Linked DNA regions of Stegostoma tigrinum. The protein of the gene in region 4 purifies or fractionates together with the protein of the main gene of each other region. This does not show direct contact. Links are inferred from orthologs where the notes say so. Each region holds a gene or a part of one and is shown on either strand. Other genes may lie near its edges.

Region 1 (7,712 bases), on a different chromosome or scaffold from region 4:
AAATAGGGAGAGAGGGGGAAGCGGACCGAAGATGGAGAGAAAAGAGGATAGGTGGAGAGAGTATAGGTGGGGAGGTAGGGAGGGGATAGGTCAGTCCAGGGAAGACAGACAGACAGACAGGTCAAGGAGGTGGGATGAGGTTAGTAGGTAGGAAATGGAGGTGCGGCTTGGGGTGGGAGGAAGAGATGGGCGAGAGGAAGAACAGGTTAGGGAGGCAGAGACAGGCTGGGCTGGTTTTGGGACGCTCTGGGGGGAGGGAAGAGCTGGGCTGGTTGTGTGGTGCAGTGGGGGGAGGGGACGAACTGGGCTGGTTTTGGGATGCGGTGGGGGAAGGGGAGATTTTGAAGCTGAAGTCCACATTGATACCATTGGGCTGCAGGGTTCCCAAGCGGAATATGAGTTGCTGTTCCTGCAACCTTCGGGTGGCATCATTGCGGCACTGCAGGAGGCCCATGATGGACATGTCGTTTGAAGAATGGGGGGGGGGGGGGGGGGGGGGGAGTTGAAATGGTTCGCAACTGGGAGGTGCAGTTGTTTTTTGCGAACCGAGCAGAGGTGTTCTGCAAAGCAGTCCCCAAGCCTCTGCTTGGTTTGCAATAAATAAGCGGAGGCTTGGGGACCGCTTTGCAGAACACCTCTGCTCGGTTCGCAATAAACAACTGCACCTCCCAGTCGCGAACCATTTCCACTCCCCCTCCCATTCTTCAAACGACATGTCCATCATGGGCCTCCTGCAGTGCCGCAATGATGCCACCCGAAGGTTGAAGGAACAGCAACTCATATTCCGCTTGGGAACCCTGCAGCCCAATGGAATCAATGTGGACTTCACCAGCTTCAAAATCTCCCCTTCCCCCACCGCATCCCAAAACCAGCCCAGTTCGTCCCCTCCCCCCACTGCACCACACAACCAGCCCAGCTCTTCCCCTCCCCCCAGAGCATCCGAAAACCAGCCCAGCCTGTCTCTGCCTCCCGAACCTGTTCTTCCTCTCACCCATCCCTTCCTCCCACTCCAAGCCGCACCTCCATTTCCTACCTACTAACCTCATCCCACCTCCTTGGCCTGTCCGTCTTCCCTGGACTGACCTATCCCCTCCCTACCTCCCCACCTATACCCTCCTCTCCATCTTCGGTCCGCATCCCCCTCTCTCCCTATTTATTCCAGAACCCTCACCCCATCCCCTCTCTGATGAAGGGTCTAGGCCCGAAACGTCAGCTTTTGTGCTCCTGAGATGCTGCTTGGCCTGCTGTGTTCATTCAGCTTCACACTTTATTATCTTGGATTCTCCAGCATCTGCAGTTCCCATTATCACTGATACTTCTTTTTGCCTATAACAATTGAGGGCCAACATGATTATAGATTTTAAATTGTTTCCAAGGCAAAAAAAGCTATAAATGTTCACAAACCAAATGCGATTAAAGACAACCAATTGTGCTAATTCAACTCAAATGCATAAAATTATTATTCAGCAATGTTATCAGTACTGAGCGTTTAAACTAAAATATTATAGCTTATGAAGCATTATTGCTAGTTCTTGTGATGTGTGCCACTCATTTTGCTCAAATTATTTGTAACTGATTAGATGGGAAGTGAAAAAACTGCAATTAAGAACAGGGCACAATTACATCCATGTATTTATGGTTAGCTTTTCTGGTGAAATGGAGGGGGAGCTCCTGTCACAGTAGCAACCCTTATCATAACTCCAAGTTTCATGGGATCCTTTTTGTAATATAAATATTTTAGCCGTACTTTCTACTAAGTGTTATAATTTAACAAGAACTATGCTGGCAATAGTCAAGTGTTTCCCAACTAAATAAAATTAAGATGTATATTGCAGTACACATCAAGTAAAGTTTAATAGTTCTGAGGAAGGGTCTCCAGACTGAAAACGTTAACGCGGTCTTCACAGATGCTGCGAGACTTGCTGAGCTTTTCCAGCAACTTCTGTTTTTGTAAGTAAAATTTAATTTTGGCTTTAGCATGTTCTCAGTTCAAAAGATTCACCTATTCGTGCATTACTTCTGAAACGCACAGGCTAGATGCAACTTTCACAATTCCCTGTAATCATTCTTCAGTATCATTACCCTTGAAATTTAGAAAAAAAAAATTCCCTAGAAGTAACATTTCTGGAACTGTATGTAAAGCATTGATATATTTGGGAGATTCAAAAATGATTTCAATACAGCAGGCACTACAATTCTGGCTTATTGGGAATGTATTCCTTTAGAATGACTGCTTCACTATTTGCTTTCTAACTATACATAAAACAATTTAACAAACCACTATATACCAAAACAGCACCTGTAGAAACGACCTATAGGAGAATTTGATCCATTGTATTTATTAACCGTTGAAATTGTGTTGTTCGAGTAAAAATAACTTCAAGTATATCCTACTGTGTGATTTGGAACAGGCAGTTTGTTTTCAAATGACGAACTTCCAGAATATTTAAATAAGAGCAAGACGCACATTTTTTCAGAAATCGTTCATTTTCAAATCGCATGAAAATGCCAAGTGTTGTTGCTTGTGAACGAGTCATTAGTCAACAGGGAAATCCCGAACCCTGCTGAAGAACGAAGTTATTTGAAAGCCTCTTTATTGACGTTATCCTTTTAACTTCCAACGTCTCCGCCTGGTTGCCTTGCTCACGCCTGGAAGCTCGGTTCAGGCCTCAAGACAGGCCCTGCCTCGGGTGCCTCACAAATTACTAAAGACGTCACTGCGGCGGCGGCACCGCCACAAACACTAAAAGGAACAATAAAAAAAATCAAATTCACCTCCAGATCCCGCCCTTTGTTCTTGAAATTCTTCAGCCGCTGTTTGTCGTTGTCCGCCATTGCCGTGTGCCTCTCGAGAAGTAAACTTGCCCTTGGTTACTGAATTCCTAATGGTGAAAACGAAACAATAAGCAGCCGTCCCTCCACCTGCCTTTCAGCTCACTTGACTTCACCAGAATCAGGCAAAATGCCGGTAAAACGCTCAGCCTCACTTTCGCCGCAATGGGCAACTCACAGTAAGAGCGACGTTGATTGGCTCGCCCCTGCCGGTGATGCGGAGCGGATGGTCGCGACGCCAGGGCGGTCCTCCCGACTCCAGGGGGGCGCTGCCTTCCGTCAGTCCTGCGCGCCTCATGCTTGTCGCCTAGCCGCGCCAGTTCGACTGAGTTGTGGCCTCTCCCAAGCTCCCGCTCGCTGGTTCAGGCCAGCCCCGGCCCGGCCGGCCCTTAGCAACCGTGCCTGCTGTTGCTATATTGGAGCGAGTGCGAGTTTCGCGCTGCGCACTTAGAGCCCGGGGTAAGGGGAAGAATTTGCAGACATTCAATTGGAGTTAGGTTTGAGCGCGCCATGCTTCTGTGGGCTTCGGGCGATTTGTAGCTATGGATTAATCTGAATAAGGTCCTCCCTTTAGTTTTGAGAAATATAGGAGTTCAGAAGATACCAGGTAGTTGTCAGTTCTGTGGACAGTTTTTTTTAAATGTGTAAAACGCCTGGCGCCTTCACTGCCTTATAATAATTTGACCTGCACATTTTTTTGTAAATGATTTTAACTCTGAAGTGCTGCGATAATAAGGTGTTAAGTGTAAAATGGAAACTTAATAGTGAACCCATTTAAAGACTAAAGTTAATGTACCGAGTTGGGCTTTCTTCCTGAGAAAGGATATTGACCAGGAGAGGATTGTGTCAGTGCACTCGAATATGGCATACACTTGTGGGGAAAATGAAAGAAAAGCTGAAGTTAATAGTTATTGATGAATAAACTTTATGGCCTTGAAAATACTGTAACGAGTCTGGAAGACCTGTAACTCCAAAGAAACTTCATATTGGAGATTTTTCTCCCTTAATATTAACCACATTCCCCACACTTTTGTTGTTTTATATTATGTAAATTGTTTCCCTTTTTATAGTTCTTGGTTTGCATTCAACTTCTCAGTAAAGATTCTTCAGTCAGATTGGCTGAAGAACCTTGTTTTTTGTCCTGTTGTCAGAGACCATGTCCTGTAGCCAGAGGCTGGAAAAGAAGCTGGATCGGAGGGAACCTGTTGTGAGAACCCTCAAAAGCTCCGTAGGCAAGTGAGCATTGCTTCCCTGCCATTGATTGCAAAATCCTATATCTTCCAAATGACAGTCTTTTGAGCTCAGTCTTCCTGGGCCAGTTCTAAATCTGAGAGAGTACATGTTGCTTTTAAAAACACCAATTTCTTTCAAATGTTTTGTTAAAGCAGTGTCTTTATAGCAAAGATCCAGTCTGGCAGCATGATCTCGTGGTGACTGGTTTACATTTTTGAGCTGAAATCTATATGACACAACGATCCTATGATATGGGTAAAGCTGACTCGGAAATCATTCTGTTAAGAGCTGTCCTATAAACCAGTATAAACAAGGGCTTTTAGTTTTCTATAGATTTCCAGATTTCTCATTCATTAAGTTTCATATGCATTATTAAACTGAGGCCTGTTGACTCCTCGGTTGCATCTCAAGGATTCCACAGCACTAGTTCAAAGGCACATAGTGGTGTTCTGACGATTGGACTGTCCAATATTTTTATCTGTAAAGTATTGATATATGCAAATTGGTTGCTGCATTTTCTGCGTTATTGTAGTTGACAATAACTTATTGACTATAAATCATTTTGGGACATCCTAAGATCTGGACAGGTGCCCTCTTTTGATATTACTCTGATATATGATTTTTTTAAAAGGCCAGTGAATGCAGCTGAAATATGCCATTCTAAAATGATAATTTAACAGAGCATTGCGTTTTTATTCAAATTTGTATGGTGGCCACATGTGTTGTAATTGCCACCACCACCTGATAGAAAGAATGTGTACATACATTGTTATGAACTGACATCACTGCATGACAGAACAAAGTAGTGCTGCACAAGTGTCTAATGTGATGAACCCAATGAGAGTAAATAAAAAGGTTCACAAGAGGATTTGGGATGGTGAGCAGGTGCAGCAGTAGCCCTGTCCCTGGGCACAACCTCCTGGCTCCAATTTTTCTTCCTTTCCAAGTGGGGTTTCAGTCTCTGACTCACCTCCCCTACTCCTCATCTGTGGTGCATGCGATGATGATGACATCACCGCACATGCATATATGCTTCCTGCGGATTGACATTTTACAGACAGGTGACATCACTGGTGCATCTGTGACAAGTATAGTGACCATTTTGCATTATGTATGATCACTTTGCTGTGTGGCACTTCATTAGAAAACTCGAATCAGCATTCTGTGTTTTGTTGGTACTGTGTAACAAAATGGTTGCCATGTAACATGCCAACAGTCACTAGAAAAATTGTAAAGTTTTCTACTTGTTATAAGGTCGTGCTTGCTGTGCAGGTAACAGCAACTGTTTAAAGTGCTGTTGTAATGGGGAAGAGTTTTGATGCAATCTGGTCATATAATGTATTGATTTCTTTAATCACCATTACCCAAAATCATTCAGAAGATATTTTAAGTGAGACAAGCTTTTTAAATCTGTGAGAATTTGATTTTAACATTTCGGAAACCTTATTTATTCTGAGATAAAAATACAACATCTAACCAATATCAACATGGTAGTAAGACTGTCACTTTAAATTGTCCTATCTTCAATAACTGAATAAAATCTTGGTTTGTTAACTCAAGGGTTTAAACAAAAACAAATTGAACAATTTCACATTCCACAGAGGACATCCTAACAAGAATGTTGGTTCTCAGCATTTGTGAAAAAGAGCAATACCCCTTTTAAATCTTGTATCCTTAATGAAAAATAATACTTTATTAAATTCATTCTCAAGACATGGGCGCTGTGGCATGGCTGATATTTTATTGTTCGTCATCCAAAGATCATCAATTAAAAGAGTTTAAACATCCTGGGTGTTTCTTACATAGGTTTGCTTATGAGAATTTCTATAGGATCCTAATATGTATCATCTGTTATATGTCCAGTCTGTAATGATCTGGAGGCCAGTGTATCCAATAGATAGTACAGATCACAACTCTCTCTCTAAAAGATTGGATGTTTACGTTATTGGATGGGTGAAAATCAAGTGGAATGCATTGTTCAAGGTAAAGTAATGCAGCACCTATCCAGGGAAATTTATCTTGGTGTTTGTAAACTCCCTAGGCTTTGAGGAGTGAGGAGGTAAGCTACTTGCAGCAGAATATTTAGCCTCTGATTTGCTAGAGTAGCAGCATTATTTACATGACAAGTCAAGATTAGTTTCTAATCAGCAACGACCCCAAGAGGGCTATTGTAAGGGATGCAGTAATGATACTGCCACTGAAAATGGAAGGAAACTGGTCATGCCTTTCAAGAGATAGTTATTGTCTGACATTTGTGTTCTGTGAATGTTACCTCCTGGCTTGTTATTCGGTCTGAAATATATACATCCCTAACAAAGCTTGGATTTATTGTCCCATGCCTAGTTGCCTGTGGACATGTAGCATTAGCAGTCCAGACTTGGAGCCAACTAATGTCAGTGTAGGCATCAGTTGTACAATTAGATCTAGAACATTGCCCTGAGACACTCCACCAGCAATTCGCTAAGACGTAGATGATCCCATCCAGTGATCATAGAGAGTAGCAAGGGTATGGAATACTTTGCCTGCAATGATAGTAGATTCGCCAACTTTAAGTACATTTAAGTCATCATTGGACAAGCATATGGACGTACATGGAATAGTGTAGGTTAGATGGGCTTCAGATTGGTATGACAGGTCGGCATGACATCGAGGGCTGAAGGGCCTGTACTGTGCTGTAATGTTCTATGTTCTATATATCTGCGTCAGTTTTACTCCAGCCATTAGAGAATTTCCACCCCAAACATCATTGTCTTCATTGTAACAAAGCTTGTAGAACTGCACTTCGTCGAATGTTACCTTTATGTTAGGTGTAGTTATTTTCATCACACATCTGGAATTCAGCTTTTGTGCCTGTGCTTGGTCTAAGTGGACTTGAGCCAAATAATTCCAGTGAATTCTAAACTGAATACCAGTGATCAATTAACTGATAGTATGCCAGGCTTGGAAAGAGCATTGATGACTTCTTCCATCATTCTACTGATGGTCGGAAGTGGTTCAGTGGACAGCAATAGGCACAATTTAGGTGCAATTTCAGCAGAACACATCTGGGCAGTTTTGCAACAGACTAAATTCCAATACTACAATTATATTTGACAGTTTGGCTAAGACTGAGACTGTTCCTGGCTTGGGATCTTCAGAACCATCATCTGGAATTTCACAGGCCTGTAATCTTTCCTGTGTCTAGTGGACTCAACTGTTTATTCACATCACACAAATAATGAAATTGGTTGAAGTTAAGTATTTGTGATGATGTGGATCATAGGAGAAGGCCTAGAAAGATCATGCAGTGATTACCTTTGGATGATTATAGAAATGCTTCAAACTTGACAGTTGAGCTCCAGCATCTTTGAAGATTGGGATGTTCATGGAGCTTTCTTCCATTAGTTGTTTATTTGTTCCCCATCATTCATGATTGAATGTGCCAGGATTACAGATCTGATGGCTGTAGTGTCATTTAGCTTTATGTCTCATATGCTTCCCCTTTTCACAATGCAACAACTTATTTTCAGTTTCACTGGGTTGGTGCCTTATTTTCAGGTTTTTATTTTCATTGCTACTTTTTACATCCTATTCAACTGTAGTTGAACTGGAGTTCCTTGGGAATGCAGGATTTGAATATGGCTGAAAAACTCTTGTTATCAAAGCTT
Region 2 (7,702 bases), on a different chromosome or scaffold from region 4:
GTCAAATTGTTAATTTTGGCAGAAAGGAAAGGAAATATGCTTATTATTTAAATGTTGATAGGCTGCAAAGCTCGGATGCAGAAATATCTGGATGTCTTTCTGAACAAACTATCTACTTTTTCAACTGCAAAAACCTGACAGTTAAAATGAACGCTCTCTGGTTAAATGGAAGAGGTATTATTACCCATCTGTAAAGTTCAGTGACAGTAAGCAGAACTGTCTTTAAAAACATCTCACTTTAAAAGATGCTGAATTTACACATATACATTCAGTACTCCCTCTAATGTTGTGACAGAAATTAAATAGTCCTTTGTGAGATTGATAACTAAAGATGAGAATTTTTAAAATTGAAGGTACAATGACACAGCCTCCACACAGATCAGCTAAAAGTACGATGATGAGTGAGAAAGCCTTGCTGCTGTCCAATACCTGGTTATTGGAACCTTGAAGGAGATGAAGTTTACGGGGCGTATTTTCAAAGTTTTTTCTGCATGATCTTTTCGATCTCAGCCTGTTCCTCAGACCTCGACCTCCTGTTCCTTAACCCAGCCCCACTAAACTATACAACCTTCCTTCACCTGTTGCCAAAATTCCACGTGTGAAACTCTTTACTCAGGCTTTCTTTACTGAATCAATCCTAACTGGAGTTAGGAACTATATTCTGTGCCTGTGACAATGAAAGTTGCCACAAATTTACAATTCATCAATGTTTTGGCACCCTAGATGTAACCAAGATATCCATTACCTAAGCATATTGATTGTCCAAATTTGTCAGGCACACAAAATCTGTGTTTGAAATAATTTTCTTTGTCTTATAATTATTGGATTTAGGACTCAGGATTTTTTTGGGTTAACAACATCGCACAAATGAACTGTGGAGGTGTGTAATGCTGAGTAAGAAATTTCATGGAGCCTTCTCATCTTGCACTCATCCAGTCAATTCTTTCCCACTACTTCCCCTATTGACATCTGTGGATTGTCCCGATGAGTACAAGATAAAATACTTCGACAAAATGCATGTTTTAGCAAACTCAAACTGAGAAATGTATTGAAATGACTTTGACATCACTTAAGGGAAATGCACGGCATAAAGTTCTCAAGATAGCAAATCACTAACAAGCCCAAGCACACAATTTTTTTTCCTCCTTACTTGAATAATGAAGACACAAGATCATTAAAAAAAACTGAAGCAGATCATAAGGACTTTGAACTTCCTCCTGCACTGAATTCACTCATAGCTAACCTTCGGCTTCAACTCCACTTTTCTATCTGTCTCTCATATTCCATGATTCTCCAAGACTGCAAAATTCTATCTATTCCACACATACACTCAAGTGCACTCAATTATGCAACATATTCTAGACTCGAAGAATCCAATGATTCACAACAAAAGATTACCCTCATCTCAGTCCTAAATTATTGCCCTCTGCCAGAGGACAAGGTCAGAAATCACACGACACCAGGTTATAGTCCAACAGGTGTATTTGAAAACACAAGCTTTTGGAGCTTCAGTCCTTCTTCAGGTGTTAGTGAGAGGGCAGTATCAGACACAGGATTTATAAGTAAAAGACCAAAGGTTCACACCATTGATGAGGATGTACAAAATAAACCTAAGATGCTGTTAAATCTTTAATCAGCTGGAAGGTTTTAATTGATCAATACGTACACAGAAATCAGCAAATTCCTTTCAAGTGGCAGCCCCAAGAGAATGAAGGCTTTTGTCAGTGTAAAGAAGTGGTGACATCTTAGGTCAGACAATATACGTTAGATGTGAGACCTTGTTTAGAATCTGCAAGTGCCTTAGACTGGAGTCAGGCTGGCTCTTCTGAAAAAACCTTTATTTCTCTCAGGACTGTGACTCGAAAGGAATGCAAAGATTTACATATACATATTATTCAATTAAACCTTCCACTGATTAAAGATTTAACATCATCTTAGGTTTGTTTAGTACATCCTCATCAATGGTGCAAACGTTTGATCTTTTACTTATAAATTCTGTGTCTGACACTACCTCTCTCACTAACAGCTGAAGAAGGGCTGAGGCTTGGAAAGTTTGCGTTTCAAATAAACCTGTTGGACTATAACCTGGCGCCGTGTGATTTCTGACCTTGTCCAACCCAGTCTGACACCGGCAGCTCCACATCATCACTCTGCTAGAGGAAACAATCCAAAAGTGTCAAGTTCCAAACTTCGGTTTTGAAAAAGAGTGAAACCAAATTAAAATCCCGCAAACCAATAGCTGGCGAAAGAAATTTCATTCGGGCTGCGCAGTGAAAACCTGCGCATCAAACTGGAGATGATCCATTGATGCGGGGGCAGGAAGAAGGTGCATGGGCGGAGGAGAAGGAAGAGCCTTCGACAACCATCAACGCCTTCCGGTGACTGGGGCGTCCCTTTAACCAGCCGATGAAATTGAAGGGGAATTGACAGCCACTTTTTTTTGGGACGGGTAGGGGTTGGTGATGGAGGGAGTTACTCCCAAGTCCTGGAAAGATTCTACACTCCCTTCAAGTCTGTAATCAGTAAAACGATGATATTTTAAATCATTGTCCCAACCTGGCCAGTGCAGAGTGACCAATCGGTTCGTGTGTGTGGAACATAAAAAGCCGGCTGGGGAGAGGGTTCAAACCTATGAACACGTTAAGAATTGCCGGAACCTGATAAATACACCTTTACACCCCATCCCCATCCGCTGCGGGCCGAGACGTTACACTCAGCCCTGAGCAAGCGGAGGAAATATAGGATTGACGGGGAACACGTGTCCGGGAGCTCTCGGCCCAGTTACTCGCCACTCTGACCCAACCCAGCCTTTCAATATGTACAACGTCTGATAGGCCAGTCGCTCGCAGCCTCCAAACGGCCACCACCTACCTTAGCGGACGGCACTACCGTGATCTTCTTGAAGTTGTAAAGCGCCATCACGACCCACCACTCCGCAACCGGAGAGAAGAGGAAACCACGAGCAATCTTAACAAGATGGTCCAGCTTGTTCAGTCCTCCCTGTCTGGAAGGTGAAACAGCGCCACACCGCTCCTCCCAGTCTGGGAGGTGAAACGACGCCACACCGCTCCACCCAGACTGAGAGATGCCAAACGTGTCACTACGCTCCTCTCAGTCTGCGAGGCGAAACAGCGCCACCGCGCTCCTCCCAGTCTGGGAGGTGAAACAGCGCCTTTCTGTACCGACACCTGCAGGTGGGGTTAGAGAATTGGCGCCTTGGTGAATACGAGCAATAGTTTATTTTCGTGAAGAGTGTGAAAGATGCTTAATTTAGAACAAACACAGCGCATTGGAGAAACCCATGAGGTCTGGCAGTGTTTGTGGAGCGATAAACAGAGTTGACAACTTCGACTCCAGCATGGCTCTTCGGAACTGAAAAATGTCAATTTATTTTTAATATGTACTTTTGACCGAGGAGGAGGCAAAGCGTTGTTAGTGGTGGAGAAAGAGAGAAAATAAAGTAAAATAGTTGTAAATTAAGGTGTCGAACGAGGGGAATGGGTCCTCTGTACTAAGAGCAAAGTGAACAAGATAAAGGATACGTTTAGATCTTTATTTTACCATGGCTGTCGCGGTCTGCCGTTTGTAAATATTGGCCGTTTTAGCTTTAGGTGGTGTAAAATGGTGTGTGGCGAGCATGAGTTGGCACTAAGTTAGCATGGGACTGTGAGGGACCATGGACTGCACGAGTCAGTACATTTGTAGGGCATTGACGTGGAGAATTGTGGGCTGAACGAACTACAGTAAAATGGGGCATCATGAGTGTGATGGGGAAGTAACAGAATGTAAAAGGAACAAAACAATTGGAGCAGACCATCCTGCAACTTTTGTGGCCAATTCCATAGCATCACAGAAAAGTTATGGCACAGAAAGAGGCAATTCAATCCTGCGATCTGCACCGAGGGCTGCAGCCTCCCATCCCAGTCCAAAATCAAAGGGCACTTTTTCTCAAGGCAATGAGCCAAATCTAGAAATTTCCTGACTTATAAAAGTCATACAGCACAAAAATAGACCCTTTGGTTGAACTTGTCAATGTTGAACAGGTTTCCCAAACTAAACTAATCTCATTTGTCTGATTTGTCTCATGTCCCTCTAAGCCTTTCCTATTCATGTACCTGACCAAATGTCTTTTAAATGTTTGAAGTGTATGTGCATCTCCCAATTTCTCTCGCAATTCATTCCACATACTCTGTCAAAAAGTTGCCCATCAGGTCCCTTTTATATCTTTTCCCTCTCACCGTGAAACCATGCCTCCAGTTTTGAATTCCCCTTCCCTAGGGAAAAGATCTTCGCTATTTACCATATCTATGCCTCTTATGATTGTAAAAATCTTTATAAGGCCACTTCTCAGCCTCCTACGCTCCAGGGAAAAGAGTCCCAGCCTATCCAGCCTCTCCTTATAACTCAAACAGTCCAATCTTGGTAACATCCTTGTAAAGAGAAGACAAGGTGTAGAGCTGAATGAACACAGCAGGCCAAGCACCATCAGAGGAGCAGGAAGGCTGATGTTTCAGGCCGAGATTCTTCTTCAGAAAAATGAAGAAGGGTCTAGGTCCGAAACGTCAGCCTTCCTGCTCCTCAAATGCTGCTTGGCCTGCTGTGTTCATTCAGCTCTACAACTTGTTATCTCAGCTTCTCCCAACATCTGCAGTTCCTACTATATCTGAAACATTCTTGTAAATCTTTTTTGCAGCATTTCCAGTTTAATAACATCCTCCCTTTTGCAGAGCAACCAGAATTGTCTGCAGTACTCCAAACGTGGTCCTATCAATGTCTTGTATAACCTTAACATGACATCCCAACTCCTGCACTCAGTCCTCTGACCAATGAGGGCAAATGTGCCAAATGCCTTCTTCACCACAGTATCTACCCTTGATACTACTTTCAAGGAACTATTTACCTGAACTCCGTGGGCTCTCTGTTCGACAACACTACCCAGGACCATACCATTAATAGTTTAATCCTGTCCTGATTTGTCTTACCGAAATACAGTACCTCACATTTACTGAAACTAAACTCCATCTGCCACTCATTGGCCCAACTGACCAAGATCCCATTGTATTCTGAGATAATTTTTTTCGCTGTCCACTCCCTCACCAGTTTTGGTGTCATCCACAAACTTACTAAACATGCTTCCTATATTTTCCATTTCATGCAAAAATCCAGCCAAATGTAAGGAATAAACATGACACTCTTTGTTGATCTGGAATGTGCTGTCCTCCAAAAGTTAGCTTTCAAAAGGAAACTGCATAAATAGTTAAAGTGGAAAAATACAGAGATGGTGAAAGAGCAAGAGATTAGACTAATGGGTTGCAATTTCAAGCCAACACAAACAATACGGCAAATCAATTCCTTCTGTATAGTGTCAATCTGTGATTTTAAAATTATTTATGTCAGAACCACTGTTGCAAAGATAGCAGCAGAACATCTATGTCATTAAAATTTGGCATAAAATTAACAAGTTGTAAAGCTCATATGTAGGAGGTATTGTTTGGGTGATTCTTCATCAAGCAAATCCTAAAATACAGAAGAGCAGTGGAACCTCCCCTTCAAATTTATATCAATAGGAGGCATATTTTCTTGGTAAGTACATCTTGTTAGATTCATGAAACTACTGAATGTTTGATAAGCAATTTCATTTCTTATCCTTGAAAAAAGATTTGAAGATATTCAAGTTTACTTTCCCCCATTAAATTTCCTATGGCTGCACAAGTTGGATCAAGGTTCCCTGGAAAATTTTGAATGTTGCAAATGATTTTGCCTGAGACAAAAATTGTAAACATTCATGTTCTGTTCTGAGTTTAAAAATCCAAATACAGTTTTTATTTTCCCTTTCCTAAATAGACATATGCACCCCTTATCTTCCAAGTCATTCCTTATCCTTATAACCCAAACCCTTGGATCCTCACACGTAGTTACTATGAATTTCAAATGGGTGGCGTGTTTCAGGCTATTACTGACTCCAACAAGGATTGGTTATTTGTGGTTCACTAGGAATGCACTTGTTTCAAAGTCAGATCCCACATCAGCTATAAAGCTAAACTGGCACCTTACTGCAGTACCGAGAGAGTACCTCACTGCTGGAGGTTTTGACTTTGGGTGAAATGTTGAATCAAGTCTCAGATTGCCCCCTCAACTAAATATGAAAAATCTGATGGCACAACTTCATTAATGAAAAGAGGAGCTCTTCCCAGTCCTGGCCAATATTTCTACAATTTGCCATATAAAACAATGTTTTTCCCAATGTTACTTATAGTTTGCATGTTATAGTAAAATCCTAAAACTTAAACTGTTGTGACGTGATTCTGTCAACCGTTACTTCGATGTTCACATTTTTTATAAAAGTTACTGGTTTATATAGGGATCACAGCACTGAGAAAGGGCAGTGAGATAGAATTAGAGTGAACAGGTGCAGTGAAGAGCTATTCCAAACACAGATGCAATAGTGTACAGTAACTTATTTGATCTAATGGGGATAGATGACCTTGACTCAACATAATGAACTGCTGTTAACTTTTGTACACAAATATTTTTCTTTATCTACAGGTTGATTAAATTATGCTCACAGTGCTTGAGTCACTTGTTATGCAAGGACAGATGTGCCACTCTTGATCTGTCTCATGGATCATAATTTCTTGACGTTTCACTTTAACCCATGAACATATTTCAAGTGAAGTTTGGAAAAACAGCAAGATCAGTCATCCATGGCAATATAAACTTTTCAATTTATTTGAGAATTGCATAAAAAAGACAATTTGCCATAGTGTGTTGCATTTATTAATACTTCTTGAGCATTGTCCCAAAGTAAAGTGAAAACAACAATTATGCTTTAAGAGAGGAGGATGCTGAAAGTGAACTTCCAAAGTTTGTTTAAATTTTAAACTAGGCATGTTAACTTTGCTTGTTCGACATATTGCTGTGAGAAATAAACCAGAGAATTGCTGCCATCTGCATGTTGGTTGAAAAGGATGCTGTATGTGTACCTCTTCTTCCTATTTGCAAAAAAAGGGCTCCTGTATATTAATATATGTAGTTATGTACACACTAGATATATCTCTCAGTGTGACTGAACAGCTTTTTAGTCTAGGCTATCCTTTAGTATAATGGCTACGTGACCAGATAATTTCTCACTGTTTCATGTGAATTCATAAATAGACCTGAGTTAGTTTAGTCATGAAAGATGCCTATCTCTCTGATGAGCCTGGAAAGGTATGACATCTCAAAAGTTTGAACAACACACTGTTTTGTGCTACTCCTATGGACTGGCAATATGATTTCTGATCACCATGAATAGGATGCTGCCAGTAAGCCCAGAAGATATTCTGCACATCACACAAATAACTAAAGTGATATATGAATTTCACTACCGGCGTGATGCCATGTACATAAGCCATATGTTCTATGGACTAGCAAATCAAATCAAACAGCATATCCCTTTGGCTCTTCACAACAGGCAATCATACTGACTGTGTGCGACAAGCCCACACTTGCAAAACTCACAACAGTGTACAACATGGGTTTGATTCCATGGTTGGACAATATTTGCAAAAGAAACCTGAGTGTGCAAAGAATTACAATTTAGGATTGTCAGTCTGGCTTGCGTTGTGGTGCACTTGAGTGTTCTGGAAGCTACAAAAATAAGTACATAAAGGTGCTGTACCTTGCAGACAGAAATATTTTTAAAAAGTACTTTTTGCAGTCA
Region 3 (7,576 bases), on a different chromosome or scaffold from region 4:
CACAGTTGGTGCCAGACCTGCTGAGTTTTCCCAGCAATTTCTGTTCTTGTTTCTGATTTACAGCATCCAGAGTTCTGAGTTAACAAGATGTGGAGAAGGATGAACACAGCAGGCCAAGCAGCATCAGAGGAGCAGAAAAGCTGACATTTCGGGTCTAAATTCTTCTTCAGAATCTGCAAGAATTAGTAATGCTTTACCACATTTGTGGGTTTTCATGACTCGCAAAGACTGCTCCAACCTTAACGTTCCCCAACCCCGCACGGCCCATTTCCATCTCCTTTCCAAAATCCACAAACCTGCCTGCCCTGGTCAACCTATTGTCTCAGCCTGTTCCTGCCCCACCGAACTCATCTCCACCTGTCTGGATAATGAAATGTGAGGCTGGATGAACACAGCAGGCCCAGCAGCATCTCAGGAGCACAAAAGCTGACGTTTCGGGCCTAGACCCTTCCCATTATCACTCCACCTGTCTGGACTCCATTTTCTCCCCTTTGGTCCAGGAACTCCCGACCTACGTCTGTGACACAACCCACACCCTCCACCTCCTCCAAAACTTCCAATTCCCTGGCCCCCAACACCTCATTTTCACCATGGACGTCCAGTCCCTATACACATGTATCCCTCATGCAGATGGCCTCAAGGCCCTCCACTTCTTCCTGTCCCGCGGGCACGACCAGTCTCCCTCCACCAACACCCTCATCCGCCTGGCCGAACACGTCCTCACATTCAACAACTTCTCTTTCGATTCCTCCCACTTCCTACAGACCAAGAGGGTGGCCATGGGTACCCGCATGAGCCCAAGCTATGCCTGCCTCTTTGTAGGTCACGTGGAACAGTCCCTCTTCCGCACCTACACAAGCCCCAAACCCCACCTCTTCCTCCGTTACATTGATGACTGTATCGGTGCCACCTCTTGCTCCCCAGAGGAGCTCGAACAGTTCATCCACTTCACCAACACCTTCCACCCCAACCTCAAGTTCACCTGGGCCATCTCCAACACATCCCTCACCTTCCTGGACCTCTCAGTCTCCATCTCAGGTAACCAGGTAGAAACTGATGACCATTTCAAGCCCAACAACTCCCACAGCTACCTAGAATATACCTCCTCCCACCCACCCTCCTGCAAAAATTCCATCCCCTATTCCCAATTCCTCCGCCTCCGCCCCCAGGATGAGGCATTCCACTCCCGCACATCCCAGATGTCCACGTCCATCAAGGACCGCACCTTTCCCCCAACTGTGGTCGAGAACACCCTTGACCGCGTCTCCCGCAACACATGCCTCACACCCCGCCCCTGCCACAACCGCCCCAAGAGGATCCCCCTCGTTCTCACATACCACCCCACCAACCTCCGGATACAACGCATCATCCTCCCACACTTCCGCCATCTACAATCTGACCCCACCACCCCAGACATTTTTCCATCCCCACCCTTGTCTGCCTTCCGAAGGGACCACTCTCTCCATGACTCCCTTGTCCGCTCCACACTGCCCTCCAACCCCACCGCACCTGGCACCTTCCCCTGCAACCGCAGGAAGTGCTACACTTGCCCCCACACCTCCTCCCTCACCCACATCCCAGGCCCTAAGATGACTTTCCATATTAAGCAGATGTTCACCTGCACATCTGCCAATGTGGTATACTGAATCCACCGTACCCGGTGTGGCTTCCTCTACATTGGGGAAACCAAACAGAGGCTTGGGAACCACTTTGCAGAACACCTCTGCTCAGTTCGCAATAAACAACTGCACCTGCCAGTCACGAACCATTTCCACTCCCCCTCCCATTCTTTAGATGACATGTCCCTCATGGGCCTCCTGCAGTGCCACAATGATGCCACCCGAAGGTTGCAGGAACAGCAACTCATATTCCGCTTGGGAACCCTGCAGCCCAATGGTATCAATGCGGACTTCACAAGCTTCAAAATCTCCCCTTCCCCCACCACATCCCAAAACCAGCCTAGCTTGACCCCGCCTCCCTAACATGTTATTCCTCTCACCTATCCCTTCTCCCACCTCAAGCTGCACTGCCATTTCCTACCTCCTAACCTCATCCCACCTCCTTGACCTGTCCATCTTCCTGGACTGACCTATCCCCTCCCTACCTCCCCACCTATACTCTCCTCTCCATCTTCGGTCCACCTCCTCCTCTCTCCCTATTTATTCCAGAACCCTCTCCGATGAAGGGTCTAGGCCCGAAATGTCAGCTTTTGTGCTCCTGAGATGCTGCTTGGCCTGCTGTGTTCATTCAGCTTCACGCTTGGTTAGCTTGGATTCTCCAGCATCTGCAGTTCCTATCATCTCTGCTCTCTTGAACTGTTCAGCTCCAACCACACCTGTGCCCCCACGTTCACCATTCTAGGCATTTAGGTTCATTGCTGTTTGTCCAAGCTGCCTATCCCCACCCTCTTCCCCCATGCTTCCCACCCCAACCTCCCCTCTTCCCCTACCATCCCCTCATCCTCACTCCCCTCCTCATATCCCACACCGTCCACCACCCCAATCGCCCATACCCTACTCACCACTTCCCCATAATCTTCCCCTCAACCCATACCCATATCCTATTCCACCACCACCCTCCAGCCCCTATTCCTCCCCCATACTCTACCCACGCCATTGGCCCCAGGTTCACTATTCCAGTCATTTAGGTTCACTGCTGTTTGTCCAAACCCCCGATCCCCACCCTCTTCCCCTCGGCTTGTGAAGAAGGGTCTACACCCGAAACGTCAGCCTTTCTGCTCCCCGGCCTGCTGTGTTCATCCAGCTCTCCACCGTGTTATCTCAGATTCTCCAGCATCGGCAGTTCCCACTATCTCAGAGTTCTATTGGTTGTATTTGGTAATCTCCTCTCTATCCTGTCACACTCGCATTCCCCCATATCCATCCAGCTCTCTGTCAAACCTGTAAGACTCTCTCATCCAGTCCCATCTCGTGGAACCTCAACTTCTCCGCCGCCATCTTGCGCCTCGGGATGTCACGTGACTCCACGCGGCGCTCGCTGCTGCCGTCCGTGGTGGCGCCGCGTAACTGCAGTTCAATCCGCGTAGTTGGTGCAGAGGAGCTTGGTTCGCAGCCTGTGCGGGTTTGCCCTCCCGTTAAAACCATCGGTCTCAAAGAATTGCTCAAAATAGCATGTCCAAATCCGAAAACAAGAGGCAACTCTGTCTTCCAGTTAAACAGCCCTGGTCAGAACTGTGATAAAAACAGAAATTTCTGGAGAAACTCAGTCGCTTTGACATCGTCTGAGAAGAGAAGCATTTCGCTGGATTGGAAATATTAACTCGGCTTTCTCTCCAAAGATGTTGCCAGAACTCTTGCAATTTCTGTTTTTGATTCTGACGTTCAACATCCGTCGTACTTCGCTTCATTTGGGTCAGAATCGTCAGGTTTTGTCACCGTGTTGCTTGCTGACTTGATTGCCAAGTCCGCAAAGCGATTTCCACGTTCGACCCAGATGGAAAAGTGAAATCCAAATTCCCTTCTGCACAGCATTTTCATTTCAGGGAAAAAATTACATTTTCTGAGAATACGAAACAATCCCAGCAGGGACTGACAAATTCCAGAGCATGCTGAATAGTACGTGCAGAGCACACAGGTCAAATACTGCATGTAAAATGAATGAATTTTGAATGAGTTTGGACAAGCATATGGACGTACATGGAATAGTGTAGGTTAGATGGGCTTCAGATCAGTATGACAGGTCGGCACAACATCGAGGGCCGAAGGGCCTGTACTGTGCTGAAATGTTCTATGTTCTATGACTTACTGTCACGTGTATTTTACAGTGAGAACAGGAAACAAAAGTGAGAAGTTTTTTTCCATGGTCGCCACAATTCAGCACCGTTTTGAATAATTTTAAAAATAAAGAAAAAGCTTAAAGACAGTCCATCCGTCCTGAGACAGCTTCCCATCAACAATGCCTGTGCTGCCATCCCTCCTCTACTGTCCCACAGCCATCTACACGAGACCCAAACAATATCGCCATTCTTCAGAGATAACAAAGTGTGGAGCTGGATGAACACAGCAGGCCAAGCTGCATCTCAGGACCACAAAAGCTGACGTTTCGGGCCTAGACCCTTCATCAGAGAGGGGGATGAAGGGTCTAGGCCCGAAACGTCAGCTTTTGTGCTCCTGAGATGCTGCTTGGCCTGCTGTGTTCATCCAGCTCCACACTTTGTTATCTCGGATTCTCCAGCATCTGCAGTTCCCATTGTCACTCACCATTCTTCAGGCATCATGTGCTGTCGCTGGGCCAATTCTCCTGCACCACACCCTTGCTTCCACCTGCAACAGACCCACCAACATCAGAGTCTCACCTCCCCCCACTGGGACCACACAATGTCACCATGACACCCATCTGCCACTGCTTCACCGGATAAAATTGGCAATCCCCATTTTTTGCTGCAAAGTCAACCTCACTGACATCACCTCTGCTTAAGTAGTTGCCAAATGCAATGCCAGACCCTGCATTTACCTGGAAAAGTAGGTGCTCACTCGCAGCTGCCAGAGTGTCCGCGCTGGGCTCAGGCAAATTGCCACGAGTTCCTTGGCACCGCCAAAGCCATCCGAGCTTAGGACAAGAGGTAAATAAAAAGTGGACAAAAGGAAAGGTCAGAGTGGATGAGCATCAGCTCAGGAGCCATCTTGTTGACATCTTGAAACAGCAGGACAAAACAAGTGACCTACATCCTAAACATAGCCGACGATTAAGTGGAAAGAGTTTTGGGAGCTGAAGTAGACATGGCATTCAATGGGTGACCACTCCAAAGTAGTAACACATGCAATGGTTTCACCAGTCACATAGACAGATGATGAGCGATCAGTACACGGATCTGGTCTCAGATTACGGGTTGAATATTGTGAGCAACTCTGGTCAGTGAGACACAAGAGAGTCGGTCTAGTAAATAAAATGTAACAGAGAAGGAACACAAGTCTGATCTCAGATGCTTCGTCCAAGGCACCTTCCAATCTCTGACCTCCACACACAAGAATAAAATGGCAGAAGACACACGGGAGCACCACCACCTGCAAGCTCCCTTCCAAGCCACTCACTACATTGAACTGGAAATTTGTGGCAGGTTCAAGCCCTGTCACTGGGTCCTGGAACTTCTGTGCTGAAATGCCCACAGTGTCAAGCAATGTGCAGCCTTGGTGGATTAGCCATGGGAAATGCAGGTTTACAGGGATAGGGTAGGAGGGTGGGTCCGGGAGGGATGTCCTTTCGAGGGTTGTGATAGAATCAATGTGTCAAATAGTCTGGTTCCACACTGTAGGGATTCAATGATCCTATATAGCTGAGCCGCAGTGGTTACTGAAGGCAGCTCACAATTGCCTTCTCAAGGGCAATTCAGGATGAGCAATAAATATGAGCCCAGTCTGACACATATCATTAATGAGATTTGGCAGAAACTTGACACCTGCAGCTGGCACGATGAATAGGCTGGTAATCATTAGAAAACCTTCAGAGTGGAATGAAACCATTCAGCCTATCGAATCTGCACCAATTTGTCAAAGAGCATCTCACCCAGACCCAGTTTCCCATCCTATCCTGTAAACCCTTATTCACAATGCTAACCCATCTTAACTGCATATCCCTGGACACTATTGGACAATTTAGCATGGCCAATCAAACTAACCTGAATATCTTTGGATTGTGGGAGGAAAACAAAGCATCCAGAGGAAATCCGTGCAGACCTGGGAGAATGTGCAAACTCTACACAGTCAGTCACCCAAGGCTGGAAACAAACCTGGGTCCCTGGCGCTGTAAGCATGTGCTGCTAACAACTGAGTCAGCAGGGCGCCAATGTGATTTAGAGATGGTAGCTGAGACTGAAAACGTACATCAGAAATATTACATCATCTTAAATTCTGGGCGTCGATCAAAAGAACAGTCCAAAACTCGGAAAACACTGCTTTTTCAGCTGGATCTCATGGCTCCCAAGAACATAAAATTGTCAGACACTTGAAGGAATTTGGGCAGAAATGAGAAGGTGAAGAACTTGGAATCCTTCAACAACTGCATGTGATTAACAACATGTTTCTGAATGTGGGCAAACCAGTGTGGGACCAGGAACAAGTTCAGACTGAAAAAGCAGTAAAAGAACAAAGAACAAGCACAGCACCTTTGGCCCTCCGAGCCTGTGCCAACACATTTTGCCCTTCCATATTAAAACTGTCTTCACTTCGAGAATCTGTATCCTTCTGTTCCCTTCCTATTTACGGATTTGTCCAATTGGCTCGTGAATGCTGTTGTTATGCCTGCTTCCACCATCTCTGCTGGCAGCACATTCCAGGCACTCACCACGCTTTGTGTGAAAAGCATGCCTCGCTCATCTCTTTGAAACATTCCCCACCTCACATGTTGAACCTGTGTCCCCTAGTAATTGACCCCTCTGCCCTGGGAAAAAGCCTCATTCTTTCCACTCTATGTATGCCATTCACAATCTTATAAATTTCGATCAGGTCGACCCTTCAACCTCCTGCATTTCAGTGAAAGCAAACCCAGTCTATCTGACCTTTCTTCTTAGCTAAGATCCCCCATACCAAGCAACATCCTGGTGAACCTTTTCTGTACCCTGTCCAAAACATACATATCTTCTGGTACTTTGGTGACCAGAACTGTACACAATATTCCAAATGTGGTCCAACTAAAGGTCTATATATCTGCAGCATAACGTGTCTATCCTCATACACAATGCACCTTCCAGTGAAGGCAAGCATGATATAGGCCCATTTTACTACCCTATCTACCTTTAAAAGCTACTGACCCTGAATTCCACAATTTGCAACAACTTGTATTCTCATGGTACATTTCAGGTCATAAAACACTGAAAGTCACTTTACAGAAATGCTGTTAAACAAAATGTAACACTGAGCTGCGTGAGAGGTTATGAGAACATACCACCCTCCGTGGTCAAAGAAATGTGCTCATTCAAAGAAAAATGATTCTCAGCAGTTTAAAGCAGACACAATGGTGGATTAAATTCAGCAATGTTCAAAAAGGCAGAAAAGGAACAATGCAGATTGTAAGGGAAAGGGACATTTGAGATAGGGAAAGGCCACATTTCTCCAGATTCTGAACTCAGCTACAGTCTTGGACTCAATTTTATTTCAGTCCAATGCAAAACTTTCCACCCCATGGAAATCCTTGCAGGAAAAATGCTCGACTGAATTGCTTCTTAAACATTTGTCCAAGATCTGCAGGTGGAATACACCTGTGAACGACTTAGCAGTCCTGCCCTTTCTCCTTTCACTTGTCAACAGTACAAAAACACGAAAACTGAAAGAATGCACTGCTTTCAACAAAGCACCAATCGATATTATCTGCTGCTATGCTTGAGAGGCTGATTCTCAGATCAAACAACAGGTTCAGCTACTTCCTGTCCTTTGATTTCAGCCCCAAAAGTGTTCCAGATCCAATCTCACGGTTCTATGCTTATGTAGTGACATGAATTTGCTAAGAAAATTACATGATTTATGTCATGTATGCTGAAGCCATAGTGTGTGTGGTGCCTATGAGTGATCAGAATGCGGGCTCTGAGATAACAAAGTGTGGAGCTGGATGAACACAGCAGGCC
Region 4 (7,502 bases):
GAGGGAGGGGGACAAAAGACGGGGAAGGGAGGGAGGGGGACAAAAGACGGGGAAGGGAGGGAGGGGGACAAAAGACGGGGAAGGGAGGGAGGGGGACAAAAGACGGGGAAGGGAGGGAGGGGGACAAAAGACGGGGAAGGGAGGGAGGGGGACAAAAGACGGGGAAGGGAGGGAGGGGGACAAAAGACGGGGAAGGGAGGGAGGGGGACAAAAGACGGGGAAGGGAGGGAGGGGGACAAAAGACGGGGAAGGGAGGGAGGGGGACAAAAGACGGGGAAGGGAGGGAGGGGGACAAAAGACGGGGAAGGGAGGGAGGGGGACAAAAGACGGGGAAGGGAGGGAGGGGGACAAAAGACGGGGAAGGGAGGGAGGGGGACAAAAGACGGGGAAGGGAGGGAGGGGGACAAAAGACGGGGAAGGGAGGGAGGGGGACAAAAGACGGGGAAGGGAGGGAGGGGGACAAAAGACGGGGAAGGGAGGGAGGGGGACAAAAGACGGGGAAGGGAGGGAGGGGGACAAAAGACGGGGAAGGGAGGGAGGGGGACAAAAGACGGGGAAGGGAGGGAGGGGGACAAAAGACGGGGAAGGGAGGGAGGGGGACAAAAGACGGGGAAGGGAGGGAGGGGGACAAAAGACGGGGAAGGGAGGGAGGGGGACAAAAGACGGGGAAGGGAGGGAGGGGGACAAAAGACGGGGAAGGGAGGGAGGGGGACAAAAGACGGGGAAGGGAGGGAGGGGGACAAAAGACGGGGAAGGGAGGGAGGGGGACAAAAGACGGGGAAGGGAGGGAGGGGGACAAAAGACGGGGAAGGGAGGGAGGGGGACAAAAGACGGGGAAGGGAGGGAGGGGGACAAAAGACGGGGAAGGGAGGGAGGGGGACAAAAGACGGGGAAGGGAGGGAGGGGGACAAAAGACGGGGAAGGGAGGGAGGGGGACAAAAGACGGGGAAGGGAGGGAGGGGGACAAAAGACGGGGAAGGGAGGGAGGGGGACAAAAGACGGGGAAGGGAGGGAGGGGGACAAAAGACGGGGAAGGGAGGGAGGGGGACAAAAGACGGGGAAGGGAGGGAGGGGGACAAAAGACGGGGAAGGGAGGGAGGGGGACAAAAGACGGGGAAGGGAGGGAGGGGGACAAAAGACGGGGAAGGGAGGGAGGGGGACAAAAGACGGGGAAGGGAGGGAGGGGGACAAAAGACGGGGAAGGGAGGGAGGGGGACAAAAGACGGGGAAGGGAGGGAGGGGGACAAAAGACGGGGAAGGGAGGGAGGGGGACAAAAGACGGGGAAGGGAGGGAGGGGGACAAAAGACGGGGAAGGGAGGGAGGGGGACAAAAGACGGGGAAGGGAGGGAGGGGGACAAAAGACGGGGAAGGGAGGGAGGGGGACAAAAGACGGGGAAGGGAGGGAGGGGGACAAAAGACGGGGAAGGGAGGGAGGGGGACAAAAGACGGGGAAGGGAGGGAGGGGGACAAAAGACGGGGAAGGGAGGGAGGGGGACAAAAGACGGGGAAGGGAGGGAGGGGGACAAAAGACGGGGAAGGGAGGGAGGGGGACAAAAGACGGGGAAGGGAGGGAGGGGGACAAAAGACGGGGAAGGGAGGGAGGGGGACAAAAGACGGGGAAGGGAGGGAGGGGGACAAAAGACGGGGAAGGGAGGGAGGGGGACAAAAGACGGGGAAGGGAGGGAGGGGGACAAAAGACGGGGAAGGGAGGGAGGGGGACAAAAGACGGGGAAGGGAGGGAGGGGGACAAAAGACGGGGAAGGGAGGGAGGGAGGGAGGGGGACAAAAGACGGGGAAGGGAGGGAGGGAGGGAGGGGGACAAAAGACGGGGAAGGGAGGGAGGGAGGGAGGGAGGGAGGGAGGGAGGGAGGGGGACAAAAGACGGGGAAGGGAGGGAGGGAGGGAGGGAGGGGGACAAAAGACGGGGAAGGGAGGGAGGGAGGGAGGGAGGGGGACAAAAGACGGGGAAGGGAGGGAGGGAGGGAGGGGGACAAAAGACGGGGAAGGGAGGATGTTAGTGTTGGGAATTTGGCAAATTCAGGGTGAGTTGAGAACGAGGGAGAAAATGGCAAGACATGGTTGACAGAGAGTGGGCAAGAAGTGGTGGAAATAAGGTGACTATGCCATAAAATGATTAGCACATCAGATTCCAACACAAACACACACAAACTCCAACATCCCACCACCCATTCGATCACCCTGCTCTGTGAAATCAGGGCGATTTGTTATGTGTTAGGGAGCAAAGAGAGACACGCTGGTGTTGACTTGGAGACAGAGAGGCTAAGAGTGTGAGGGGGTGACGGGAGATGGAGGGAAGGGGGTTGCCCCCGGGTACCCCGCTTGCGCGCCTGGTTGCCATGGCGTCGCCCCGGTGATGATTGTCGGGGGGAGGGGGTAGAACAGGAGGTTGCCATGACTCCGCGCTCGCGCGGGCCCGACCGTTAGCCCGCTCGCGCCGTCTCCAACGGCTGCGGGCCCTGAGCGCCCAGGAGCCGAGCGTCGACCTCCGACCGACCGTCCACCCCACCCTTTGGAGGTAGGCCTCGCTCGCCACCGGTTCCATCCTCTCCCTCTTTATTTTTTAACTTTTTCAAAAAAAATACCATTTATTATCACTAGACCGGGCAAGTTTTGTGTGTGTGAAACAATCCGCTTATTATCGGGACCGCCACCGCGCGAGAAAGAGGCCGGGCCTACCTCCGCCCTCTCTCTCAACTTCTCACCCCCCCCCCCTTCGCCGTTCATTCGCCGGCATATGTTCACCTCCCCCCCTCCCGTCCCGAAGCACGGAAGGGGGATTGACCGATCTCTGGTTTTCTCTCTCGGACCAGGGCCGGAGCTGCTTCTCCAATCCCGCTTCGCCCCCCTCCCCCGACCACTGCACTCTTCCTCCTCCTCCTCTCCCAGTACTCACAGCCTCTCTCCTCCGCTCGGCGCGGCGGCCATTTTCAAATTATTTCCAGCGCGTCACACCGGCAGGGCGGGCGGCCCGACCGGCCGAGATCTCGCGAGCGTTCGGAGTTTCGGGTAGGGAGGGTTCCGGGTGAAGGTGGGGGGAATGAGAAGTGGGTGGAGGCGGGGAAGGAGGGGGCGGGGTGCTTGGTGGAGTTGGGCGGGAAGGGTGGGTGGGGCGGAGTCCAAAGCGACAGAGGGCGTCGAACGTGCGTGAGGGGGCGTGGTCTGAGTGAATGGGGTGTGTCCCAAAGTGAGGGGGTGGGTCCAGGGTGGAGCCTTTATGTACCAAAGTGAGGACAGCGTGGTCCCTTGGTGAGGGATACGGACCCAAAATGAGGGGACAGGTTCCAAAATGGGAGCGTCCACTCTGTGGGATGACAGGTTCAAGTGCTAAGTGGGGTGGTCCCTGTTTGAGGTGATGCCCCCATGTCAGGGTACCTGAGTGAGTGGCAGTGACCAATGGTGAGGGGATGGGGTCCTTTAGGGACAGCTGGACCCTCAGTGAGAGGGCATGATCCTTTATGTGAAGGAACATTGGTCCCTGTGTGAGAGGACGGGGTTCCAGACGAGGGGGCATAGTCCCATTGTGAGGGGGGCATGTCCCAAAGTAAGTGTCCAGGCTTGAGTGTATGGCTATAAGGGTGAGGGGGTGGGGTTTATGTATGAGCCGGTGTGGTTCAATCATGAAGGGCCATGTTCACAGAGGGAGGAGGTGGAGTCCCTGGTCAGGGGGCTGGGTCTTTGGGGAGAGGGGCATGGTCTCAAGTTGTGAAATCACCTGATGAAGGGGCTAATCTGCCAAAGCTTGTGTTTTCAAATAGACCTGTTGGATTATAACTTGGTGTCATGCAATTTCCGACCTTGTCCAGCCCAATCCAACAGAGGCATCTCCACGTCTTGGGAGAGGGAGGGCCTCTGGCTGAGGTGGGGCTTTTGGTTGGGAATGGTGTCTTGGTGTAGCAGAATGGTGTAGTGGTGGGACAGCAGGGGACAGGTCTTGGTGGGTGGGCATAGTACTGCGCAAGAGGGCATAATCTTGGAGGAGCAGGGATGCCTGTCAAAATCTTGATAGAGCAAAAGATGCAGAGTCTTGGGAGAACAGAGGAGGCAGGATCTTGGGAGGGGGTGGTATTGGGAGGGGAGGAAGGGTGGTATTGGGGACTGGTCTTTGGAGAAAAAGTTTGTGGTCTTAGAAGAGGAATAGAGGTGATTTTGGGAGGGGGTTTGATCTATGGAGAGGATGGCAGTAAATCTTGGGGAGTAGTGGTTGGTCAGGGGAGAGCAGGGGGTTCATGTAAGTGTTGTCGGAACTGTGTGAGATGGAACATGGTCTTGGGGAAGCAAAGGAGTAAGGTCATTGAGCAGAAGGTGTGTCTTTGGACAAGTTATAGGAAGTGGAATGCAAGGAGCCCATTGTGACATTTGAAAGTAAGGATCAGAATTTAAAAAGGAGGGTGTAGTTGGACCAGGAACATGTGTTGCTCAGCAAGCATAAGACGTGATTATAATATTCCTTTCAAACTGAGGGTGAGCCTTGCCATGTAATAGCCTATAAGATACTATGGAACCAGGTTTAAAAAAAAAAGCAAAGAGGTTACTTTAGTAATTGTAAAAAGGGCCAGGTGAATCCGTAATTGGGGATGTTAACCTGGGCTAATCAAGGAATCCCACATTCAGTTACCCTTGACAATGCCAGTCCTTTCATGGTCTCAACGTTCTTGGTTACTCTGGATGTCCATTCAAAGTGTATGAACACACACAGAGTTTATTCGGCAAACTCAGAAATGACAATTGTAAAGCTGCAAACAATTTTCACAATACAGAAACTACTGGTAACGGACAATGGGATGTTACTTACCAACAGGGATTTCAAGTATTCCCTAAAGTTGAATGGGATTTAACATGTTTGGACAACTCCATACCATCCATCATTCAATGGCTGAGCAGAAAGAGCAGCACAAACTTTAAAGAAACAGCCTACAGCCTCACTTGATACCAAACTGTCCCACTTCCTGTTCGATTATAGGACCACCCCTTACGAAAATACAGGGAGAGCTCCAGCAAAGTTGTTGATGGGTGAAGACTCCTATCAGGTTATATCTAATATTCCCATTTAAGGGTGCAGGGGGGAGCGGGGAGCATGAAATGGCAGCAGCAACACCAATGCCAGGCACATGCCTCCTCTAAACAAGGAAGACAGTTTACTTAAGGTGACAAAGTTTGGCATTGAACAGCCCTGTGTGGTTATGAGTCAAGGTCAACACACAGTTAGATCCCATGATATACAAAGTTCAGGTAAGGTGAGGTGGTCCTAAATAAACATGTGGTTTATGAAAGCTGCTACCTTGCAAACAGGGCAGGAGCAAAACATACCTGGGCACCTCAGAACAGCCATAACGGCTGTCAGAAACCATGGGTCCTCCTCCATCATCTAACATCGAAGAAACCTCAGAGTTCATGATGGATGTAGCCTCAATACCATTAATGCCTGAAGAAAAGAAGGAATCTCTCCTGAGACACTCCAGGTGCAAGAGACGGCATACATGATACACACCTCCAGTGTCCTATCAGAGTCAGAAGAACCCCATTCACAAGCGTACAGACAAAGAAAAATGCAAGGAAAGAAAAGGCAGTTCAATAGTCCCTGTCCACGGCCTGTGCTGAGATGCCCTTTTGGCTTTCTTCAGGAAGCTAAGGAAATTGGGCATGCCCACAAGGACTCTTACCAATTTTTATAGATACACCAGAGGAAACATCCTATCTGGACGTATCACAGTATCGTATGGCTACTGCTCTTCCCAATTCTGCAAGAAACCACAGATAGTTATGAACACAGCCCAATCTATTGCACAAACCAGCCTTCCATTCACTGACTCCATCAATATTTCTTGCTGCCTCAGGAAAACAACCGACGTAATTAAAGACCCCTCCCACCATAGTTATACTGTCTTCCACCCTCTTCCATCAGGCAGAAGATATAAAAGTTTGAATACAAGCACAAGTAGATTCAAGCACAGCTTTTTCCCTGCTGTGGTCAGAGTTTTGAATGTATCTCAAGTATTAATTTTCTCTCTCCATACCTTCTTGGCAACCATAACACTATATTCTGCACTCAGTTCTGCTACCTTGATGCACTTTCTATGGTACAATCTGCCCACGTAGCACACAAATCCACACTTTTCCAGTGTATCCTGGTATGCATGATAACAATAAATCAAACTCAAACTTCTCCAGGTACTTTCACTTGCTTGCAGGTGGGACAGGGTGGCTGTTCACGCTCATAAAGTGTCTGATCTATAGATTAAGAGCCACAATTTACAGAACTGATGGGAAGAGATAGACTGGCTTTTTTCAGGCTCCAATGCAAACAAAAGAACAGCTCTTTCCTTTTCTGAAGAAGGGTCGCAATCCGAAACGTAAACCTTTCCTGCTCCTCTGATGCTGCTTGGCCTGCTGTGTTCATCCAGCTTCATACCGTATTAGCTCTTTCCTTTTCAATGGTCTGATGACTTCTAACCAAATATTCACACCCATAAGCTATCCAGTAACCAGGGCACTAACCGCGTAGTTGGTAGCGGGCAAGAGGCCATGTCATCAACCAATGATCACTAATCCACAGAGAAATCATCTTCTTGTTGCCAGGGGAATTTCCCTTCGTACACACCCCAGGATCAGCATGTCTGTAGTAACCTCACCCTCTGCTTGAACAAGCAGCTGTGCAAACAGCACATACAATGAGTATTGAGTAATCTACTGTTAAAAAGTACAGCAATTCTTTGCACGGTCCCTGGTGTTTAAGACAGTCCTTTTTCCCATTTCAGTTCATAATCAAAAATAAAGTAAAATTAAAAATATACTTTCTTTAAAATAGTGAACTCATTAAATAATTGTGTAAATATCTTTGTTACATTTACCACTCTCCCATCTGCTCCCAGATCTCTACCTTCGGGTGTTCTAGATTTTTCACTCTTTTCTCAGAACATACTCTCTCAGATATAAAAGGATGGTAGATCTCTTGCTTGATTGATGATTGTTGACTTTGGTTCTGACTTGTGACCATTTCTCTGCTAGAGGACTTTTTATCTTTCAGGTCTCCTTCACATAGATGAATATTTGGATAGAAATAGTGTGCAAGTGTACAATAAATGACAGGAGATTGACATTAGGTTTTGAACAAAGAAAAAGAAAAGAAAATTACAGCACAGGAACAGGCCCTTCGGCCCTCCAAGCCTGCTGTTTTCATGCTCTTTTAAAGAGCCACGGAGGTACGATGGACCAAATAGTCTCCTTCTGTGCTCTAACAATTCTGTGATTTAAAGAACATTGTTCTTTGTAGATGCTCTTGTTGGCCATTCTTATCTAGAGCATCTGTAATCCCCTGAATGTTCTTCCTTGTATTATTCTAGATTTCTGGATCATGCAATCATTTTCTAATGGAAGGAGCAGTTTTTTTTGCAGTGATTTGCTCTGACTCCCATGAAATTAGATGCAGCTCAGTTGACTTGCGTTGTTCAGGTTGGACGTCTTCACTTGCCTCTTTTTTTAT

Evidence for each region.
Region 1: the proteins of mecp2 (region 4) and kpna4 purify together in Homo sapiens (affinity purification with mass spectrometry; 3 studies listed by BioGRID and IntAct, counting the BioPlex papers as one, with this or other methods). This does not show direct contact. The link is inferred for Stegostoma tigrinum from reciprocal best matches to the Homo sapiens genes MECP2 and KPNA4.
Region 2: the proteins of mecp2 (region 4) and gtpbp4 purify together in Homo sapiens (affinity purification with mass spectrometry; 3 studies listed by BioGRID and IntAct, counting the BioPlex papers as one, with this or other methods). This does not show direct contact. The link is inferred for Stegostoma tigrinum from reciprocal best matches to the Homo sapiens genes MECP2 and GTPBP4.
Region 3: the proteins of mecp2 (region 4) and ddx56 purify together in Homo sapiens (affinity purification with mass spectrometry; 3 studies listed by BioGRID and IntAct, with this or other methods). This does not show direct contact. The link is inferred for Stegostoma tigrinum from reciprocal best matches to the Homo sapiens genes MECP2 and DDX56.

What each region holds. Positions count from the first base shown.
Region 1 is NC_081367.1:27,530,193-27,537,904, forward strand, and holds the start of kpna4 (importin subunit alpha-3), read right to left. Parts: upstream 3,011-7,712; 5' UTR 2,836-3,010; coding exon 2,776-2,835; intron 1-2,775. UniProt on the Homo sapiens protein: Functions in nuclear protein import as an adapter protein for nuclear receptor KPNB1. Binds specifically and directly to substrates containing either a simple or bipartite NLS motif.
Region 2 is NC_081355.1:136,686,896-136,694,597, forward strand, and holds the start of gtpbp4 (nucleolar GTP-binding protein 1), read right to left. Parts: upstream 3,006-7,702; 5' UTR 2,920-3,005; coding exon 2,872-2,919; intron 1-2,871. UniProt on the Homo sapiens protein: Involved in the biogenesis of the 60S ribosomal subunit. Acts as a TP53 repressor, preventing TP53 stabilization and cell cycle arrest.
Region 3 is NC_081393.1:10,121,018-10,128,593, forward strand, and holds the start of ddx56 (probable ATP-dependent RNA helicase DDX56), read right to left. Parts: upstream 3,007-7,576; 5' UTR 2,958-3,006; coding exon 2,901-2,957; intron 1-2,900. UniProt on the Homo sapiens protein: Nucleolar RNA helicase that plays a role in various biological processes including innate immunity, ribosome biogenesis or nucleolus organization. Plays an essential role in maintaining nucleolar integrity in planarian stem cells.
Region 4 is NC_081402.1:3,533,846-3,541,347, forward strand, and holds the start of mecp2 (methyl-CpG-binding protein 2), read right to left. Parts: upstream 3,020-7,502; 5' UTR 2,948-3,019; coding exon 2,916-2,947; intron 2,538-2,915; exon of another isoform or gene 2,421-2,537; intron 1-2,420. UniProt on the Homo sapiens protein: Chromosomal protein that binds to methylated DNA. It can bind specifically to a single methyl-CpG pair. It is not influenced by sequences flanking the methyl-CpGs.